Xenopus tropicalis: one gene and its partner. The protein of the gene in region 2 interacts with the protein of the main gene of each other region in a biochemical or structural test. Links are inferred from orthologs where the notes say so. Each region holds a gene or a part of one and is shown on either strand. Other genes may lie near its edges.

Evidence for each region.
Region 1: the proteins of prkar2a (region 2) and rab32 interact in a test that uses a peptide from one of them, tested with the Homo sapiens proteins (2 studies listed by BioGRID, with this or other methods). The link is inferred for Xenopus tropicalis from reciprocal best matches to the Homo sapiens genes PRKAR2A and RAB32.

The regions. Positions count from the first base shown.
Region 1 is NC_030681.2:49,376,113-49,379,814, forward strand, and holds the start of rab32 (ras-related protein Rab-32), read right to left. Parts: upstream 2,859-3,702; 5' UTR 2,679-2,858; coding exon 2,438-2,678; intron 1-2,437. UniProt on the Homo sapiens protein: The small GTPases Rab are key regulators of intracellular membrane trafficking, from the formation of transport vesicles to their fusion with membranes.
Region 2 is NC_030680.2:136,484,702-136,488,452, forward strand, and holds the start of prkar2a (cAMP-dependent protein kinase type II-alpha regulatory subunit), read right to left. Parts: upstream 2,813-3,751; 5' UTR 2,516-2,812; coding exon 2,251-2,515; intron 1-2,250. UniProt on the Homo sapiens protein: Regulatory subunit of the cAMP-dependent protein kinases involved in cAMP signaling in cells. Type II regulatory chains mediate membrane association by binding to anchoring proteins, including the MAP2 kinase.

The DNA.
Region 1 (3,702 bases), on a different chromosome or scaffold from region 2:
TTATCAGAGCACAGTCACATGGTTGTGGTATTTAAAAATGGTTTTCAATGGAGGATTCTGCCAAAGAAGCTTTATTAACTGATGCATTTGAAAAAAATAAACATGTTTTCTCATGACAGTATTGCTTTAAGGATAAAAACTCTCCATTGAGTTTGCTGTTTTCTAGAAGGAGTTATTGCATGTACTCTTTCTATTTAACATCTTGAATATACTGTACACCAGTGTATATCTGTGTATACATTTTTTTCCAGGGACTAACTGGTTTGACTATATAGGCAAAATTGTGTCTTACTAGAAAGTTAAGCAGGGCATGGGAGAAACTGAGATTGGCTGCCAAATCAGAAAGCAATCTCATAGTGTTACACACAACTAAACAAAGATAAATTATTTGAATAACCACAATCAATAATGAAGTCATGAAATGCAAATATGTGTAAAAAGCCATCTCCACAGCTTGTCCTCCCCTGAGAATTTCACATGGAATGTATTGTGGCAGCAGTTTACAGATGTGATATTTGCATTGTATTCCTTCCTAGTTAGGGATGCAACTAATCCATTATTTTTAAATTCTATAAACAAAACCCTAATTTGCATATTCACATTTGGGGAACAGAAATTCCATACATTTTAAACAAAGAGTTGTAACATTTAGTTGTCTAAGTAAAATGACTAAGTTTGGATTTGGTTCAGCTAAACACTTAGGATTCTACAAAACAGTTTGAGAAATTGGCCAAAATCCTGGATTCGGTGCCACTCACAACTAATTCATTTAATAAATGATACCATGCAATGAAATTGTTTTCTGCAAAAAGTGCCTCGGAATGCTGGGCCAGGAAAATCTGAAAAGGTACATGATTTACATATGACTTCAATTGGAGTCAATGACTGTGAATTTTAATGTAGAAATCTGTGCATTTAGATCTGATTTCTAGCTGCAGTTGGTATATAAATATTTTTAAAAACAACAATCAGCTGGATGTGAAAGTGTGTAGTTATTCCAATGATAATTTTGGGTAAAATGGTCAAAACATTTAGGGTTAAGACACACAAAGCTACTTACTAGCAGCTACTTGACACGGCTACTAAATACCACAAAATACCCTGCCTTAGACAATACTGAGAATTGCCTCTGCTAAAACACACAGTAAATGATCAGTATTGTCTATTTTTGTAGCTGTGACAAGCTGCTTCTAGTAGCTCTGTGTATCTTTACCCTTAGTCACTTAAGCTGGCCATTCACGCACCAATGATATCGTACGAAACCTCGTTTTGTATGGTATTTGGTGCGTGTATGGTGGATCGATGAGACAATCGATATTTCGACAGGTGGAGGTAGAATTCATATTGTTTCTAAATCCACACCTTTTTGACTGATGGAAAAGATCAGAATTTCTACATGTATGGCCGCAGGGGCGGGCCAAGCCAACCAGGCGCCCTAGGCAACCCGGTCGGCCAACTCCGCCCACCCCCAACGGCGCATGCGCGCCAAAGCACAGGAGGAGGCGCAGGGGGGGCGGTGCGATTAGATTGGTCATTGCCTTGTCATTAGCGGCGGAGGCAATGACAAAGCAGCACTAGGGGTAGGCAGGAGAGGCTTCTGCCTGGCGCCCCTCAATCGTTGCGCCCTAGGCAGCTGCCTCTTCTGCCTACCCCTAGTTCCGGCCCTGTATGGCTGCACGGAACAAAGTAAAGGAACAAAGCAAAGGAACAAAGCTAGATCTGTGGCATAGGCCTTAACTATGCTACAGTACAAGGATATATATGAAAGTATGTCAATAGCAGTGTAAGTAGTAACCAAACTAAAACAAGGATAATGTTTCAAGTAGGTCAGGCACAATGGGGTTGCATTTCTTTTTGTGAAACCAGACTTGCATTTGTAGCAGCGCTCCTCAGAGGAGATGCATCTACTTTAACTGGTGCTGGTCCTGCCAAAGACTGTGGCACTTATTATGTCACTGAACCAAAATACCACCAATGTAGTATATGTAACTAGTTGTAGCACTGTGTTCCTGTATTTACCTCGTACACCCATACATCTACTATAAACACAGCAATTATATGTGTTATGTTGGTATCTTCCATTCATGGTATCTCAGTAACTTTTCACTGGATAAAAAACATGACAAAATACCACAGTCATTAGTAGCCAAAACATATTTTTCTGTTTACAATTGGCAGTAAATTAAACACGTTTGAAACAAAATAAGCACTTTCCAGTCAATTTATGTAACAGAAATGCTGCTTGGACATCTTTGGCATTTGCCCCTCTAAAGATTTAAAGAACTGTACTATATATGAACTTACCTCTCAAGGGCCCAGAACAATTGTGCCCCTCTCATGCATTAGGGTGTATGTAGTGATTTCTGTATTACAAATGTTGCAGCATTGTCCGAGAAAGGTTTTATACAATCTTCTCCCTAAGGAAATGCGTGCTTACCTGCAATATCCCACAGCTGCAGTCTGACCAGCGTGCTGCTGTCCCAGTTTATGACTTTGAGAGCAAAATCCACCCCTATGGTGGCCCTGTAGTGCTGGGAGAAAAGCTGATGGACGTAGCGTTTGATGATGCTAGTTTTGCCCACTCCCAGCTCCCCAATCACAAGCACCTTGAAGAGATATTCCTTGCGCTCAGGCGCCCGGGGGCTGCTCGGCTCTCCGCCCGCCCCTTCTCCGGCCATAGCGACACTCTGTCAGCGCGACGCGACACGAATTTTGGAAACGCACTGATGGCAATGACACGATCAACCAGAGCTTTAATCTCGCAGCAGCTGTAACTGAACGGCAAGTTCCTTAATGCATGTGGCAGCGACAAAACAATTCCCCGAAGCAGGTGTCTGTATGACTTCTCTATTCTTTAGGAATACTAAGGGTTCATGGCAGTGACACACAACCAATACTATTGTCTTTCAGACAAACTTTCTCAACTTAGCGGCCTCTCCCTCCTCCTCCTCCTCCTCCCAGAGACAACCAACCATACGAGTGCGAGTCACAGGACAGGAAGCCAGTGCAGCCTGGGAGGGGAGCGGTGCAGCCTTAGCTCACGGGTACTTGGGATATTCCTGCCATAGACTCGCCTTCTCTTACATAATATGTAGTATGAACCTGTATATTGCTTTTGCTTATTGTCTCACAGAATGGAGGAAAGCTGCATGCAATGTCAATACTTTTCTTTCTCTTCTGAAAAGGGAACCTTAAAGGAACAGTAACACCAAAAAATAAAAGAGCTTTAAAGTAATAAAAATATAATGCAATGTTGCCCTGCACTGGTAAAACTGGTGTGTTTGCTACAGTAACACTACTATAGTTTATATAATAAGCTGCTGTGTAGCCCCGGGGACAGCCATCCAAGCTGGAAAAAAGGAGAAAAGGCACAGGTTACATAGTAACATAGTAAGTTGGGTTGAAAAAAGACGCGTCCATCACGTTCAACCATAAGGTTACATAGCAGATAACAGACAAGTTCTGTAGAATACAATAGTGTTTTATCTGTTATCTGCTATGTGCCTTTTCTCCTTTGAATGGCTGCCCCCATACTACACAGCAGCTTATCTATATAAATTATAGTAGATTTTCTGAAGTAAACACACAACTTTTACCAGTGCAGGGCAGCAGCACATTATATTTTAGTTATTTTTGTACACTTTCATTTTTTGGTGTTACTGTTCCTTTAAGGATCGTTGCTCTGAATAGTTACCAGATCTC
Region 2 (3,751 bases):
TTGCTTCCATTTTCCAAAGTCCCACAAAGTTGCCTGCAGGAGGAAGCTTCGCGCCACTTTGGAAGACGGAAGTGATGCCTTTCCAGTGGTGATCCCCTTTGTTACCACAGGAAAGGCATTTTGGAGAGATTAGTTGCCCGCGGTAGCAGAGATCTATCGCAGGTGACTAATCTCTGTGTGGGACGCTATCTACAAGGTTTCAGAGAGCACAATCTGTAAATCGATTATTTACAGAGAGAGATAAACCAAGCAATTATGAAGGAAACCTCACAAACATTAGAGAAGACTGTTCCATATAAAGTGGGTGCAATTATTGGAAAATGAGCAGCAAGCATAACCAGCAGTGATGTTTCTGTAAGAGAAAATGTTATGCCTATTGCAGAATGAGCAGCAGGCATCACTAGCAGATATCCCACAATGCAACTATAAGCCTGCCTAGTAGGTACATTACTTATACTGATGTAGTGTCCTCTGCCCTAAAGGGAGACCTCAAACATGTACATGCCCAGCAAGCTTGAAATTTATTTTAAACTCAACAAAAGACAAGAAATGTGCACAGTGTGTCCTGCCCACAGGAGCTTGGTACTTGCCACCATTTCTAAGTAATATACAATCACCCCTTATTTTACAGGGCTTTAGGACATCATTGAAAGGGAAGTTTATTAAAGGGGAACTCCACCCAAGTACAACTTGAGCTTTTTGAAAAGTAAAGCTAATTTCAAGCAACTTTGCAATACACAAATTTTAAAATATGCATCCATTTCATGATTTTTAATGTAATAATATGGTTTGGAACAGTTCCCTAAGCCCCGCCTGATCTGGCCGACTACTTTGAGACTCAAATAAAATGTAACAGTAATTGCCTGCATCCTCCCAATCACACAATTCCCTGCACACGTGATGTCAATAAGAAACTTCACGGTGCAATGCATTGTGGGTTATGTAGTTCCTGCATGCTGTCTGTAAGCTGTGGAGAAGTTGTTACAATTTGTAACATCAATGTTTTAGTCCCTCCTCCACTGCTAGGATTTTAAATGATGCAGAAAGAGAAGAACTGTTTTGCAGCTGGACTTCAGCATATAAAAACTGTATTTCAAAAGAACAGATTACAGTGACAGGTATATTAGGAATGACTATTGTGTGGGGCTCTTTAACAAATTTTGGTTCAGAAGCCGGAGTTCCCCTTTAAAGATCTAAAGGCTATGAAGCGAGACCAGACACCAAAAAATGACTTATGCGCCTTAAATCATTTACAGTTTCTCTGTAATTGGTAATTTTAAAAATCACTGGCAAGAAACAAAAAGTACTAAAATAAAGACATTGGAAGCCCTGCTCCACATGAGGAGATGTCAATTCCTCAGCCCTCTGTCAATGCAGGTAGTGCATCTGACTTTACAGCATCACAGGGGCACCTTTGGGGCAGGAATATGCGGAAGAAAAAACCGAAAGAGCCACTCAAAACCGGTTCCTTGCATCAAGGAAGAAATGTCATTCTAAGCACCTTTCCAATATACATTAACGTTGGTTATGGAAGTTTATTTGTAAATGAGTTCTGACTGTATCTGCCTGGCTGTTTCCATTCTCTGCACTGCTGGTTCTGACACAATGTAGAAGTAGCAGGTAAATAAACTGGCTGTTTCCATTCTCTGCACTGCTGGTTCTGACACCTGACACAATGTAGAAGTAGCAGGTAAATGAAGTGATCTAGGGCAGAACTTCAGCTACATTGTTGCAAGAGTCAAGAACTACATATTATTATTAAGGATAAAGACATTTGTCCCACAGTTACAAGTGTAAATAACTTCTCATACTGTCAGTATTGGGGGGGGGGGCACTTTAAATGAGCACATGAACCCTATCCAAGCTGCAGCCCCCGTGTGTTGAGCTGCACATCGGCCCCAGCAGAGCAAGGCAGGGAGCTGCACATTAACAAAAGCTGGGGGGCAGGATAGCTCTTTGATGAATGTGATTTTGTCTGCCCTCTCAAATGGGGGCCCCCCAGCCTTCCTGCATTGCCCGGGGGCCCCCCAGCCTTCCTGCATTGCCCGGGGGCCCCCCAGCCTTCCTGCATTGCCCGGGGGCCCCCCAGCCTTCCTGCATTGCCCGGGGGCCCCCCAGCCTTCCTGCATTGCCGGGGGGGGCCCCAGCCTTCCTGCATTGCCGGGGGGGGGCCCCCAGCCTTCCTGCATTGCCGGGGGCCCCCCGTCTTCTCAAACTCCAGCCCTGCCCACAGCACATGCGGCCTCTTACGTTCGAAATCGGAGTCATCGTCATCTTCCTCGTCCTCCTCTTCGTCCCCGTTAGACTCGGTCTGCATGGGTTCCCCGTCGAAGTTGACCACCCGGGCGTGAGGCCGTAAAGAGCCGGCCCCTGCGCCATCCTGGAGCTGCTTCTCCTTCAGCCGGGTGAAATACTGTATCGCAAACTCCACCAGGTCCGGCGGCTTCTGGCGCAGCACTTCCACCGTATAACCCTGCAGTAAGTCCGTCAGGCCGGGCGGGATCTCGATGCTCATCGTCCCCGGGTTGGGGGGGGAGGTAGCCCCGTTTCGCTGCTATTCACACCTTACACTGGATAAGCTGAGCCACCAAGCAGGCCAGAGGGTGCTGTCCCCCCCTCTCTATATTCCTGATGGTTCCTCCGCTCGCACAGTCCCCCCTCCCTCCCCCCAACAAACCAGCGGACGCTGAGGAGTTGCCGCGGCTCAGGGAATCACCTCACACAGCCAGAAACCGGCGAGAGCGCAGCGCGCACTGATCCCTAAGAGCAGCGAGTAGGCCGGATACGCGAACGCGCAACAGGAGGCGGGAAAAACAGGGCAGAGCACTGGCTAAGAGGGAGGGACTATTTTCTGACGTCAATCCCTCGTCCTCTTCCGCCAGTATATTACATGGGGAACGCGGCTGCTTTGTCAACCTGCAACGTTACCTGAGCTTCTATGTCACCACGGTCCATTCTTGAAGCTGTCGTAAATGCGTCGAAAAGTTGAGCAGAGCTGTCATCCCTCAGGAAAAGAACTTACATGTCACTTGCTTAGCCCCACCCACTCATGCCAATAAGTGACAGCGGCCGGTGACGTTGGGTCCGCCCCTCTCTGCGTCATCTACTGCCTGGCCTTGGCTTAGGAGCGCTGGGAGCCAATGAGCTCTGTGTAAAAAGGTGAAGATAAGAGCGCTCAGTGTTGCAGCAGCTCTCTTGTTTTAATATGGTGCTAATAATCAGTAAAAGCTCAGTGTAGGCCAGGTTGTACCGCAACTGAATTAATGCTGCTATTTTTGAGTAAGAGACCTTCAAATGTTATTGACTGAAAAACTCCTATTGTCCTGTGGCAGATATAGGCTGTTGGGGCTAGAGGCAGAGTAAAAATACCTCAGGTACCAGAATGGACATATTTGCGTCATAGATGTATTCATGATAGAGAAGTATAGGAAGTAAATGTCTTGTTGGTACAATATGATAATAACTAGAGCTTCTCCAGCATTTAAATCCATTTTTCAAAAGCGTAAACAGATTTTTTAATATTTAATTTTGAAATTTCACATGGGGCTAGCCATATTCTTTATTTCCCAGGGTGCCACAGCCATGTGACCTGTGCTCTGATAAACTTCAAGTTCGAGTGATACCCCCCCCCCCCCCAGCAGCGGAATCAGCAGAACAGTCGGAAGTTAGCAAGATAGCAGCTCCCATTAGATATTAAAGGAGAAGGAAAGGCAAAGTCACTTGGGGGTGCCAAAATGTTAGGCACCCCAAG